Linked DNA regions of Struthio camelus. The protein of the gene in region 1 interacts with the protein of each later gene in a pairwise test. Links are inferred from orthologs where the notes say so. Each region holds a gene or a part of one and is shown on either strand. Other genes may lie near its edges.

What was found.
Region 2: the proteins of WASHC3 (region 1) and HSBP1 interact in binary tests that used the Homo sapiens proteins (3 or more experiments, as listed by UniProt). The two-hybrid records come from large-scale screens. The link is inferred for Struthio camelus from reciprocal best matches to the Homo sapiens genes WASHC3 and HSBP1.

What each region holds. Positions count from the first base shown.
Region 1 is NC_090942.1:63,564,139-63,571,281, reverse strand, and holds the start of WASHC3 (WASH complex subunit 3), read right to left. Parts: upstream 3,042-7,143; 5' UTR 2,793-3,041; coding exon 2,565-2,792; intron 915-2,564; coding exon 816-914; intron 1-815. UniProt on the Homo sapiens protein: Acts as a component of the WASH core complex that functions as a nucleation-promoting factor (NPF) at the surface of endosomes, where it recruits and activates the Arp2/3 complex to induce actin polymerization, playing a key role in the fission of tubules that serve as transport intermediates during endosome sorting.
Region 2 is NC_090951.1:4,839,895-4,847,474, reverse strand, and holds the start of HSBP1 (heat shock factor-binding protein 1), read right to left. Parts: upstream 3,010-7,580; 5' UTR 2,897-3,009; coding exon 2,852-2,896; intron 2,202-2,851; coding exon 2,135-2,201; intron 1,963-2,134; coding exon 1,844-1,962; 3' UTR 1,843-1,843; intron 837-1,842; 3' UTR 789-836; intron 126-788; 3' UTR 1-125. UniProt on the Homo sapiens protein: Negative regulator of the heat shock response. Negatively affects HSF1 DNA-binding activity. May have a role in the suppression of the activation of the stress response during the aging process.

The DNA.
Region 1 (7,143 bases):
ACAAATAACAAAATTTCTCAGATTACACGGCTTAGTCTAATTGGATATGACAATTGCTGCTGGCTAGGGCTGTATAGTAGTCTTTGTTGAGTAAGCGAGTCAACAGTTACAAAAAAACCCTCATGATAAAAAGGTTAAGCTTAAAGCCACATTAGAAACCAACCTTTCTACAAGGGATGAAACACTCTAGACCTGTTCTGTGATCAATTCTAGTACTGTCAGTCTGGTATGTTTTCTTGGACACTAAATTCACCATAAAAACTTGTCAGCTTTTACTGTTTTTACTTTTCTCTTTCTGAGAAAACACTAAAATCAACTGCCTCATGTTCCATGCTAATCACTTGCCAAAAACGTCTTTTTTTCACATGAATATCATTTACATGCAGAGCTTAGCATATCACCCTTTCAAAGTAAAGGTGGAAAATATTTGCAAGAAAATTTTGATGTGCATCGTAGGATGAGATGAATACTGACTTTCAAAATAGATCCAGCAGCATAGAAAGAAGGCATTCTTCTTCCAAAAGAAGAGCATATCCACAAATGGAGCTGCTCAGAAAAAAGTCCAAAGACTGTGCCAAATGCAAAAGTTTAAGGAAAAAGGTTATCAGTCTGGTACAATCAGCAATTCACATGGGTAACTTGGAAAAAAAAAATCTGTCTTACGTCTTCACTCAAGAGAAACACTGCATCGATTAAATTTTCTGGTTTAAGCTACCTGGCCATCTTGCAGCAAAACGTATCAAATTGAATGGTTCTCATTTCTGAATTTGTTTTTTCATCTATACAAATTGACAAATGGGAAACAATAAACATACCTCTTCACAAACAGTAGAAAATCGGTTGAGAAACTGTACGGTGTGAACCACAAACTGGTTTAGAAATGCTACAGTTCTTTTCTGCTGAATAGCAGGAACCTGCATTAAACAATATAAGAAAATTAGCTTATACACAGGCATCAACTCTCACATCTAGACTAAGATAGTTATAAAAAACTGCAAGTATTTTAGAAGAAATTATTTTAGAAGTAAGCCCTAAGCGTGCCTGATATGAATGCATATATATATACATATATATATGTTTATTCATTGCTTATAGATATACAAATTCTTTTTCATTAAAAATTTACTAATGTCATACTTGAAAAGTTAAAAGATACATGGAAAAGGGAATATTCACATAACTGAAGGACAGTTACCTTATTTAAGCAAATGCTTTTGAATGAAATTATGAAAACCCTTGAAAATCAGCATTAAAATTAAAAAAAAAAAAAAGAGAGAGAGAGCAGGTCAGAACCTCTCTTTTGGAAGTTTAAGGAGGAAAAAGAAAACCTGTCCATCCATGTAAGTACTCAGTTAAAACTATCATCAATACTTCACAATCAAAAATAAGGAGTAGTGAAATTGCTGTCTGTCTTTACTGAATACCTATATATTTTTTTCAAGCTAAGATTATCCTAAAATTAGACTTCAGTGTCGCTCTTCCAAGTGGGAGGTTCATGCACATGTACTTTTCAGGCTAAAAGGTGTAGAAGGTTATATTTGTCGAAAACAGGTGTGGTGTTCATTTGCAACAAATAGCTGGCATTTTTATTTAAACCATTAGAAAAGATGCAAACCGAGAACATTCACACAAATGTTTGCCTATAAAATTACAGGGCTTCAGAGTTCATTTTTGGACAATAGTGAAAAGTCTTAAATTCCACATAAGAAGTTACACAGGGAATCTTAATTGATTCAAGCAGAGCACTTACAAGGAAAAACATTTGTAGCAAAGCTTTAGCTGCACTGAACCACAGTTTGTCTTAATCAGCACCTGAGTACGACTACATTGACAGGATTAGCTGTTCAGCAAGCACTTACGGTTGCTACTTGTTTGCTGCACTCCCACCTGTCAGTGCAGCCATTCACTACCTTTGCCAACATGAAAACATCCTGATTTTTTGTGAGATTGTTGTTACTATCGCTTCAGTTGTCAATCTGTTCACCTGTAGTCCAAGATCTCCTAAAGTTCAATTCTGTAGCTCCAAAACCATCAAACAGCGGTCAAATCCTTATCAGAAAGTTACGGGGCTAGGAAGATGGATGGAAGGAAGGGGAATCATCAGGCCTGGAACTGTCCAATCCTTATGCTTGATATTTCATAAACAAAGCTAATAACGTGGGTTTTTTTTTTTTTTTTGTTTTAATCACTAAAAGACCAAGGTAGGCAGCTTTGCATAGGGTTTGTTTCACAGTTCGAAGCCCGACACGGTTTAACCCGTAAACACGACGCTGTTACTTGCAGCCAAGCGCCTCTGGAAGAGCGCAAGACTGTCCCCTCGCAGACACAGCTCAAGACGAGACAAACCGCCGGGCCTGCCGGGCGCCTCCGCTGCAGGGACGAAGTTACTTTCGCATACCACTCTGCGCCCCGGGGGCGGCGGCCGGGCGCCCCCAACCCCCCACGCCGGGGCCTCGGGCGGCAGCACCCGGCCCGCCCAGCACCAGGGTCAGCGCAGCCGCGGCCGGGCCGGGCCGGGCCGGGCCGGGCCAGCTGCGGCCTCCGCGGCGGCCGGCGCCCCGTACCTTGGTGAGGTCAATGCCGGAGCCCACGATGGGCAGCCCGTCCTCATCCATCGCCCCGCCGCCCCGCGGCCGAGGGGCGGCCGACAGCCCCGCCGCCCCCCGCAAGGCCCTCGCGCTGCGCGCCCGACCTCTGACCACCGCCCGGAAACAAACCCGCCCGCCGGCTCCGGCAAGGCGCTGGCCGCTGTGCGCATGTGCAGCGCCCCGGCCCCTGCCGCAATGCGCCATGGGAAGTGTAGTCCGAGCGAGGTGCGGGGTTGGGGGGGCGGGGGGGGAAGGCGAGCTGTGGCGGCGGCGGCGGGCGCAGGTCCCCCCGCCTCTACCGGCCTCCTTCCGCGTCTTTGTAAGGGCGGCTGCTGAAGCACCGCGGTGCTGCCTTCGCCCTTGTTCTTCTAGTGCGTTTGGCAAAAGGCCCCCGTTGCGGCCGGGGCTCACGCTGCCGCACCGACCTGTCTGAAAACAAGGCCTTGGATAACGGGCTGTGGAGGGGAAAGGTCTTCCCCAGCCGTCAGGCAGCCAAATAAGGAGAAATATCCGCAAGGAAACTGATTTTTTTTTATTTTTTGGGGCGTTTTTTGGATGATGGAGGGTCGGATAAAAGTCACGAGCAGTGAATGAGCCTGGGCAATCAAGTTACGAAAGATTTCTGTACCTTACTGCAAAAGGAGCTAAGGGAGTACGGGGAACCTTAGCTGCGGCCTGTCTTAACGTTAGTGTTTCAGTTAATGCTGCTTAGTGCTCTGCCACTATCATCTCTGTAATCGTATTTTATAAACTGATAGTTTCATTCAGATTTTATCAGTGCTTTTCCTTAGGGTTTTCCAGGATTGTACTGCGTATCTCATGGATATATTCAAAACTTAAAAAATACGTCTGTAATATAAAAAGGATAATATAAAAATAAATATAAAAAAATCATTTTTAATAAAGATATGTTGAAAACATTCATGAAATGTGTTTGGAAAGCTGACTGTAACGGGCCTTTACTAAACAAGTAACTTTTCGCTTGAACAAGTCTCTTAAATAGCAGTATCTCTCACTTCTGCCTTTTATTTGTTTGGTTTTGACAGGATATTTAACATGAGAAGATTTATAAGAATTAAGCTCGGCTGAATGTTCACTTTGATGATTTTGCAATAACTGGTGTACTGGTGGTACAGCTCACCAGTAAACCCAGACAAGGTGAAAGATGGGGTTTCCTCTGATCATAGGGTAACAATGGATAGGAGAGTGTTTAAATAGTTAACACATGATATGAGAATAAAGACATAATAGAAAATTCGTATCATTAAAACAATAGGGGATCACAGTCAGCTTGAGCAGAAAAGTAATACCAGTATTTAGTGACAATGAAGCAGGTTATTCATTGAAGTTCTTCACCATACAGTAATGTTGGTATTTTCCAAAGATGCCCTTGCTGTATATGTGCCTCCTGTGCTGACCTATGGTGATGTTTTCTTTTGTTCAGCAATACCTACCACTGCTTTCTATTTGCTCTCATGTTTAGGTTATAAGAAGGTCTACTCTGTTTCTCTCGGCCAAAGAAACTTAGGGGTATCAGACTCTAAGGAAAAAGGGAATGGTCAGTAGGTTTCCAAGTGTTCATCCGGAATAATTCCCTAACTGTAAAACAATCAACCTCTTTTTTTTTTTTTTATCTCTGAGAAGTTGCTCATGTTATTTTCCGCTGTGGCTAATTTCAGAGCACTAATCAAACCATTTAGGTGTGGGGTCCCAAAATGAAGACGGTATGGACCACTCCAATAGCTTGCTTCGTCGAAAGGCTTTTCCACCTCCCTCTCACCCTTCACCACCAGCTGGTGAACTCAGTTTATCACTTGTTCTCGGTGAACCCATCCTTGAGGCAATTCAAATTGCCATCCTGGCAGACAACTAACCTTAGAGGAGGGAGTTTTTCCTCTTTGGGTAATGAGCTGAATCAAATCAGCTGAAGTGTGCATTGAACACCAGAGTCTGTGTATAAGGGAGGGGCAGTGTTAAAAGAAAACGAGACCTTTCCTTTCAGGGAGTGGTAGCAAAATGCAGATAATTCTGCCATCTCATGCAACTTCGCCCTTGGCGTTTCAGGAGAACAGCAATAGAAAGAAACACTTATTTGCTGGATGCGCATCTGATGTGTAACTTTAAAAATATATAATGAACTGTGCACGGTGATTGAGATAGCTATTTTGCTGGCTGAAACTCTGATAGTCACAGTAAAAGCTTAGGAAGGAGAGCTGATCTTCTGGCCCTGTTAACCGCATCTGCCATCTGTGCTCATAAGATTTTGAATGTGGTATATACATTTATACACAGTTATATACAAGAGATTGTGAAATGAACAGAGAGTGTTTGAACCCTATCTTGTATTAAATAATTGGTTTCCACATTGTCAACAGGTCTTCTGTGAGCTATACTGTCTGTATTCTTTGGGACTGATCAACCAGCCAGCTGGTTAGGCTCAAAGAAGAACAAGTCATTACACATTTTAGGACATTGCCTCTAAAAGAGCCAGGAATGGCAATTACAGATAGATCATGCATCCAATCCTGTGGCTGATTAAGTATGAATGAAGGATGAGAAACTACCTTTAAATCTCCTAACACATAGCTCCAAAGAGAGCATCAGGCACACTAGCAGTTTTAAGTAAGCCCCAGCTCCAGCAGTACATGCAGATTGCATTTGTTCCTTCTGTGAAAACTGTCATTAACTCTCAGAGTTTATTCACAGATTTGACAAAAATAATTAGTTCAGAAAAGAGGCTAACCTTTGGAGTGTTCATTGTGAGCACAGAATTCTCAGTCCTGACACCTGGGCTGTGCTTTGGAGAATCCAAGCTAAGCAACTAAAGATCCTGGAATGAGGTTGTTGGTAATCTTTTGTTCCAATGATATAACAAACAGCTCAACCTTTTTAATTAAAACTTTAATTCATTTATATTCTAGGTTTGTGTATTACTGGAAGACAAGACAAATCAGAGCAATTTGGGGTTCCAGGTTGTTTGTAACAGCAGTGTATCCAAATAGAGTGTAGTGGAGTAAGTGCCTGATGAAAACACCTCATGGCTACCTCTAAATACTCATAAATCCAATAAAACTATCTAAATTTAGAGCAGTTAAGAATCTACCATAGTCTGAGGCTGTCAGTAGGAAGCTTCTCATGTGATGAGATGAACCAAAAGGTGCTAATTACTTTAATACTATTAAGATTATATCCCTAAAGTGAAGATTATATCCCTAAAGTGCTATGCTAATTTTAATTAAAATTTTAAATTCTCAGTTTACTTCCAAATTATTTTGTTTCACTAAGCAATCCCATTTCCAGGATCTATGAGGACTGGAATAGAACTGGAGTACCTACCTCTGTTGCTCCGAAATTAGGTAAAATATTCATTTATGTGCTGAAGCTGCTTTTCTTTGATTTCGTATTTAGTGGTTTCTTTAACTTATCTTTCGTCATACTCATATCCCTCTTATTCTTTCAGCTAAAATACTACATAGCAAAGTCCTTTTTGTCCATACTGTTTGAATTATTGAACAACCTGGGTTTTGTACGGTGTTTTGGCCCAGTGACATATACTTGGCAATTTCTCACATCTCTCAAAGGAAGGAGGGGGTTAGCCTACAAATTCAATAGGTTTAATCTAGCCTATGGCAATTCTGCAAATTATTTTTGGGGGAAGGAACTGTTTGTTTAAAATATCTAAGTGAATTATCTTGCCATCTTAATTATCTTAAAGGACAAGTTGTATGCAAGAAGAATGAATCTCATTTACCAAAAAATGCCCATAATGTAAGTTTTCCAGGCATTGCTAAAGAAATTTTATAATATAGATGCTTAGCCAAATCTTAGCTGAATCATTTGATCTGTAAAATTGGACAAGAAGTCTGACAAGAATCGGCTCGTCTGTGAACTTTCTGGTACTTCCTTCTTTTGATTTGGCCAAAAATACTGCGCAGAAAGCTGTAACACAGCACTTTTTCTCCCAGCTGGAACTACAAAATGCAGGGTATGAAAAGTGAAAAACACAAACAGAGTGGAGGCAAATGATCCAAATTTTTCCAAAACCTCTTTAAAATGTTTTAATCGAGCTAGTTAAACTGGAACTATTAATGTCTGAATCCCAGCGGGAGGATTTATACAAAATAATTCAGGGATAATATCCAAATTTACACTGTGTACGATTTGAAAATGAATTTCTGTACCAGCACCCATACTGGATGATAAATATCACATTTAAGGAATAAATACTGTACAGTATGTAACTGAAAGCAGCTTATATCCTATGCATGTGTACATATATATGTAGGCATGTAAAGACTCAGTTATGTAGCTCCACCTTTCAGCGAAGCCAAGATTAAAGACTGTTCAACAGTTATCAAAATAAATTTCAGTTGAATATTAGTATTGGCAAGATGTTAATCTTAGAGATGCTTAGGCTAACTTGGAGTGCAAAAGCTATGTGTACAGAAAACTGATCAAAGCTTTGTCTCCATCACTAGTAAAAAAAATACTGTCAATGTCTAGTGTTTAGCATGCACTGCAGAGGAAGGGAAACAGCATAGGTTTCAAAGCACTG
Region 2 (7,580 bases), on another chromosome or scaffold:
AAAATGCTTTTACACATTGTAGTTGCAAAAAGCTGTTCTGTAATTTCAAGGGCTTGTTTGGGAAAAAGACAAAAAAAAAAAAAAAAAAAAAAGTGTTCCAGCATTCATCTTAAGTTATTGGCAACCTGTTGGGGAAAGATAAAAAAAAATTACTGAGACGAATTAGAGAAGCATGTTCATCAGAAACAGTGCAGTTAGTGAAGGATCAATAAAATCAGGCATCAGCAAAATTTCCACACTCCTGAGGGGGGTAGAAAGCACAACGTATCAAAAATTGTATTTGTGGGGTTCAGGCTGAGAGAATAAAGTTAGCTTCTGGGCACAATAAAGCCCATAATAATCTATATTTTATCAGAGTATCACAAAGAATAGGTACTTTAACAAGGCAAGATCTATACCTGCCTGAGACACACATTCCAATTATACAGACTGCATAGTATTGCAGAACCGACCTCAGAATTTCAGGCATAAGACAGGTTATCTAAGAAGTGTCTTATTAGCCACCTTAAGACACTATGTTAAGCTAACAGGATACATCTGGTACTCTATTTAACAGTTGCTTTCCATGGATTACAAAAATCAAGTTTTGCGCATACTGAAGTGAAATATCACTACTTGTATACAATAATTAAGCCCTCCAGCGTGCTTTGTTTATGCTCTGACAGTTTTAGAAGTCTTGCATTGCCACCATCCTCTGAAATGCCTTTAGCAAGCCTTGTAAACGTTGTGTGTGTGTGTGTTACTTGGTCACTTAAATTCATTTACATGTTGCTGTGCTAGACTTTTACCTGCTGCTTTTCAAGTAGATGAAAGATCTGCTTCTCTCATGTTTTTGCCTAACAATACAGGGAGACATTATCAATCAAGAAGTTGCATGGTAAGAACAAACACCACATTTACCTTTCTATACAAGATTTCTTTTTCCAGGGCAAGTTCCCTTAGAATATGCCTCGCCTTATGTTTAAGCATTCTAGTATATTCATTGTCGGAGTCAGCACCTGCTGCTGTGCAGTAACACAACTGAGTCATGTAATCACAGCAAGTTCCTAACTTACATAGGAGAATCACAGAACAGCCAAGGTTGGAAGGGACCTCTGGAGATCACCTAGTCCAACCCCCCTGCTCAAGCAGGGTCATCTACAGCACAGGATCGTGGCCAGGTGGGTTTTGAATATCTCCAGGAAAGGAGACTCCACAGCCTCTCTGGGCAACCTGTTCCAGGTTTAGAGGTGACTGATAGTAACTCACTCATCAGCCCCTGTGCGCACCAGCAGGTTCTGGAGGCTTTAGGAGCTTATCGGGAGCTAGAGTCTACACTATGCAGCTGAAGATGGAAGAGTAGCACCAAGTCAACAGTAACTTTCTAGCTATAAAAATCAGAGCAGAGGGTGGAAACATGCATGAGATTATGGTCCTTTTCAGAAGACTCAAATGCGCAGAGAGAAGGGAGAAAAGATCAGCTCACTTTGTTACTGATGTTCTAAGTTCTTCTCATCTCTTCCCCTTCCTGTGTCATTATTTCAGATCTTACTAAGAGTACCAGAGCAAGTGAATAACAGAAGGTGAATACAACTACTATATTTCCTCATTAACTAACTAGAAATGGAGAAAAGGGAACTTTCATCCATTATTGGTGAAGGAAACATCATTGGTGAAGTAGGAACGGCTGAAGAGAGCAGATCAGCATCCTGTTTTTTGTATCATAAAGTACAGAGCTACTCCACATGAATTTCAAATTTCAGACTGCCTCACAAGTCAAAGGACAAAATATTGTCTGCTTCAAAGTCAATAATTTCAAGTGAGGAGAGGATCTGTTTCAAGACTAACAAACAACTGTCTCACTTTAACTCTTGTTAGTAGCAGGGGCCTTGTTTTCGCCTTCTAATTCTTCCACTCCTGCTTGTGTCATGAGGTCTGCTATGTTTTTCTCCAGGTCATCTATGCGACAGCTCATGTCATCAAGTTAACTGGAGTTAAGGAATATGACTGCAAGCTTTTTTTTTTTTTTTTGATTATGGCTTTGCTCAAACTCTTACGCTCACTTTCAATGTCTTGCAAATCCCACTTCAAACATACATAAGAATTCTTGTGCATCCATAGGGTATAATAGCTATCTGACTTTAAAAAAGGATATTTCTTCCAATGATTTGGTCAGACATGGTTTGAAATTTGTCCTGCATTTGCTGAAGCAATGTCTGCACCTGATAGAAAGAAAAAAAAGTCTGGTTTTTTTTTTTTCGCATTGAAGGAATTATTACTGTATTTAATCTCATTTTATTAGAATATGAAACAAGGCAAGCATAAAGTTTTGTTTCATGGTTGAGCTCAACAATGAAAAACTCTATGGTTTATTTCCCAATTTAACTATCATATCATGAACAAGAGAACTGAGGCTCACAGTAAACAATTTTAGTGTTCTAGAAAATGCCCGAGTGCCACAACCAGAGCTACACCCACAGCAGTTGCTTCCAGCGAGCTACGTTAATCACGCGCTGACGCTCTTTTCAGTATCAAAATAACAACCTGAGAAAAGACAAGCCTTTCTCTCTGCACTCCCAAACCCTTGCTCGCACCCGCCCCCCGCCCCCGATAACCCCTCCTTGCAACCTCTCCGCACACACAGAGGCGGATCCGAGCTGCTCTGGCCGCGCACGCTCCAGCGGACACAACCCTGCGGCCAAGGCGATTTCCAGCGGGGCTGGAAGGGAGGAAGCCCCCGGCGGCCGGCCCGGGGCGAGGCCCAGCCCTAGCGCTCCTCGAGCAGGCCTCGGCCGACCCGCCCGCCCCTCCGCGGCGGGGCTCCGCGACCCCCCCGGCCCTCCGCGGCGGGGCTCGGGCGCGGCGGCCTCACCACGGCGGTGAGGTCCTGCACGGTCTTGGGGTCGGTCTCGGCCATGGTCTCCGGGGCGCGGCGGCTGCAGCGGCTCGGCGGGCGCTCGAGGGCCCAGCTCCCGTCTCCAAGGCAGCGGCACTTCCGGGCCGCTGTCGTCACTTCCGCCGCGAGCTCTCGCGAGAAGAGTCCCTGGGGCATTCTGGGAAACGTAGTCCGGGCCGCCCGGAAGTGACGCGCGGCGGCAACGCCGCGGCCCGAGGCCGGCTGGGCCGCGAGGGCGTTAAAGGCCTCTCGTTGCCCGAGCGTTAAGCTTGAGCGTAATCCCGCGGGTTTTCCTCGTGCTTAGAGGAAAGGCTTTTGTCGTGCGGAGATTTAGTAGTTTTGCTGATGCTCTTAAAAATGACTTTACAACTTTGCAGAGATTACAAGTGTATTTTTGTAGCCTCGCATATGGGCCTCTCTGGCGAGGCTTTTACCCTCTTTCCTGCCTAACGTAAAAGGAAAACGTAAACGAGCAGTTAAGCCCGGTTAGCGAGTGTTCGCAGGTAATCTGTGTTCACTGGGGAACCGTTACGGATTAGCAGTGAAAGCCAGAAATGTTACATAAGTGGGTTGATGACGAAAATAAATATATTGCTGCCTTCATGACAGAAAGCACAAATAACGGAGTTGCGTGCATTAGCCTAAATTCCCCTCTGCCACAGATTAATGACGTAGTCCGTAAAATACTGCAAAGCTTCGTGGGGGAGGCTTTTGCAGTGGGGATGGGTGCAGGATAGATGTCCTCGGGGGAGGTTTATAGGCTTTTTAGACCCAAACCTATCCATTTATAACTTTCTTTAGTGAAATGAGTTGATGTTTGTATGGCATGATAGTACTGAGGTATGATCTCAACTGCAGTTAACAAAAACGTTGAATATGAATTTGTAGATGAAGAACGGTCTCCGTTAGCGGTAGATGGTTCTCAGATGGCTCATTTCTGCTGAAAGCCGAAAGCTCTGCCTTATCCCCTAACGAGCAGCAAATGTGAGCTGCTGTGTATTTGCATTATTAATGTGCCTTTTGGAACTGCAGTAGTCATATAAGAACAATTTAGTGTCAATTTGGGGAAATTTTGTTGTCTGTTGAAAAGTAAACATAGCTTCTAGGTCTGTGAAATGCTGCCTTTTGGAACGCTGTGGTAGTAGTGTAAGAACTATTTAGTGCCAGTTTGGGGAAAGTTTTTTGTCTGTTGAAAAGTAAATACAGCTTTCAGTTTTGAGAAGAGCTAAGAAATTAACTCCTATTTATTTGTTTGATATGTTTACAAAAGATGGCTGGTTTTTTGACTGTTACTTGAAGCACATAACCTATCACTTCAAAAAGGTCCTTATATCTGGTCTCGAAGAGCACATCTTAGTGCAAATTTTTCAACTCACCTGAATGCTGACATGAGTCAGGGGGCAGATGGTGGTGCCCACGGGGTCGGACTGTGGCTGTTCCCTGGCTTCAGACCCTGAAGGATGTGGCGTAGCAAATCTGGAGACCATATCTTCCCCTGTGCCCTTTGAGCATAGGACTACAGGGAGACAACGTGGTGCTCACTGCCATGGTTCCTCTCCTGTGTGCCCCACGTGCTGCTCGGGGTGGCCAAGAAGCCATGGCAGTGGGGAGAGGCAGATGCAGAGCAGGAGAGGTCTGGCTTGTGCACTTGTGTCTTCTTGCTCTGAGCTGAGGGTGCTCTCTACTGGTAAAAGTATATTGCTATATCTGGTTATCTTCTCAGTATTTGCAGCTCCCTGAGTAGTCTAGAAAGGAGGGTAGCTGCCAGAAAATGAGCTGATGCCTCAAGCCGTTGGACAGACCATTTCTGTCTCTTCTAGTCGCTAGACAGGGGTGTCAAGGCTACAGATATGAGCTAGATGCCTGCCAGGAGATTCATATGGCCCAAGGTCCTCTACCCACCCACAACAGTGGATGACAATGCACATGCCTTTCTTACTTTTCCATTGTTTAACAGGAGAAAATAGGGACTGGCCTCATTCTGCAGCTTTTTTTTCCTAGATGAAGTTGTTGCAGCTTGACATGGAGAATTCAGCCTTATTTGTTTGGCTTCAGCACTTTGTAAATATGATCATGCTGCTACCAAGTGTGGCAAGTCCAGATATGGAACTGTATTGATTCAGCTCATGCCTCTTCTAACTCAAGCATTGCTACACCATGTTCCATTTTAGGGTATAGACAAACGCTAGATGCCTTTGACATATTGCTTAAAATGCCTGTCTGCAAAACTGATGTAACCATCTTTCCTGTTATGCAGGGAGTCAGATCAAACTACATAATGGGTCCTTGGGCCATTAAAATTTAAAAAAAAATGTTGAGCGGCTGCATACTTCTTAGAACTTTTAAGATTTTTTCTTTAATGGCAGGATAAAACATTGTCATTATTCATTTACTTCCTAGCATGGCATAGGTAAACAATGGCTAACTTAAAGTTTCAGGGGGGTTGTGTCCTTTTCTTTGTAAGACTGGCCTGAGAGAAAATGCTGTGCCAGGAGGAGTGGTAGGATTAATGATCCTTCACAGTAATGCTCGGAGATTACTAAAATGAATGGAGCTGTAGAAGGCTGAATTCTCTTGCTAGCTTTTTAATGATAAAGTCTTAATTAAAAGTGTACAGAGAAGGAGGACTTTTAGAATTTACAAAGAGGCTGTTATGTTCCTTAAAATCAAAGGAATTTAAAAAGATTGATTTAAAAACAGTTAATGAATTCATTTGAAATATGGGGACATGTAATTCCAGTGCAAAATGATTGATCCTCAAGTAGCAGTAAGTCATGATCAGGCTTTGCATTAAAGCAGGCACATTTTCAGTTTTCCAAAGAACTGAAAATGAACTTTCCCTATGTGAAAACCTGATAGGGATTTCGGGTACTGGCATCTGTAGATGTAGTTCAATTCCTATTTACTTTAGTGATGTAAGATAAGGCTCAAAATAATTCTCATCAAGTAACCACTTAAAGAAAGGCTGTTAATTTAGCAGCTTTTTTTTTTTTTTGTGCCAGTTAAAGACAAAATTACTTTAAGTAGTTAATACTGCAGAATTAATTGTATATTTGCTATTAGACCTCTTTTCCTGTAATCATGAAACAGGGATTGGGAGGCATCTAATGAAATAAAAAGATAAGTTAAGATAAAATTTCCCAAAGGCAATTTTTGCAAGGACACCTGCGTCTACTCTGTTCTTACCAAAAACAGCGTTGTGGCTTCTTTAATGACCTCAGGCAGTTGTGGTCTTAGAATTACATCTTGTTTAAAATGCAGAGGACCACGTTCCTGGTAGAACTGGTGCCTTAGCTCAGTATTAATAATTGAGAAAAGATTATATTATTATGTTTATGTGTTCTGTAAAGCAGAATACATGAATGGGCAGAAACTGAACCACAGGAAGTTCCATCTAAAGCTGAGAAAAAACTTCTTTACTGTGAGGGTGACAGAGCATTGGAACAGGTTGCCCAGAGAGGTGGTGGAGTCTCCTTCCCTGGAGATATTCAAAACCCGTCTGGATGTGATCCTGGGCAATATGCTCTAGAGGGCCCTGCTTGAGCAGGGAGGTTGGACTAGATGATCTCCAGAGGTCCCTTCCAACCTAAACCGTTCTGTGATTCTGTGAAAGCAATAAATAGCAATTATACTTTAATTACTTTGACTATCAGATCTTATTTTGGCTCCCCAATGACTTGCAATGGCTCTGAATGTTATTCATATAATGACCGTCCACTCAAACTACTGCAGCCATTCTTGCCTGTTCCCTCATTTGAGTGTGCTCAGTTTATGAAGCTTAAGGTACTGCCTCAGCATTTAAAATCACAAATAAATTTTTTGGTATTCAAGTCAAAGGAATTACAATAAAATCTGGAGAATTAAATGTTAATATCTCGATTGCAGCCTGAGTGGCTCGTGGCAGAAATTCTTGAGAAAATATAAAAATGTAACAAACAGAACTCAGTTACTACTTTCAGAGGAAGAACACTCCTTAGAGACTGTCAAACATACACGAGGTTGGGACTTATTAAACGAAGAACGGCACTTAGCAACTGCCAAGGGAAAAGTAAATGCTCAGTAGCATGATTCATGTGAATGATATTTAACTGGATATATCAAAAATTATGGGACCAGCAAAACTAGGACTAGAATAAATAGGAAAGTGATTTGTAGCAAAACAGGGATAATTCAGTGTGCTTTTTTTCAGATTATGCTTCAGAAACTAAAACAAATGGCTTTTGCCATTCCTCGCCTCCCTTCACTTCATTCTTGCACACAGGTATTTCAGAGCACTATCTCCTTAGCATTGCTACTGAGCCCTTTTGTGACTGAGAGAGGAAAAGCTTTTGTAAGCCGTATTTTTCAGGAGGGAAAGGCTTGTTAGTGGTCAACAACGACAAAACAACTCTTTCAAAACTATTGCCAAGGTGCTGGAAGGAGAAGGATGTTACATCATTCTTCCCTTGGATTCACCAAGCTTTCAGCAGCAGAAAGCAATCAGAAACAGTGCCAAACTATGACAATGTATGCTAATATTAGTGGTCTAATAATACCTGCTTTATAATCTATGGGAATGTTAACACATTCCTTACTGATATCTCTAGGGCCAGGACAAGTTATAACCACTGTGCTCAGAGACTAGTCTGTAAAAGGGCAAAGAATAGATTATACATTATTACCTTTAGTGGTACCAATTACGTAAGGAGAAGGACAAGTCATAGAT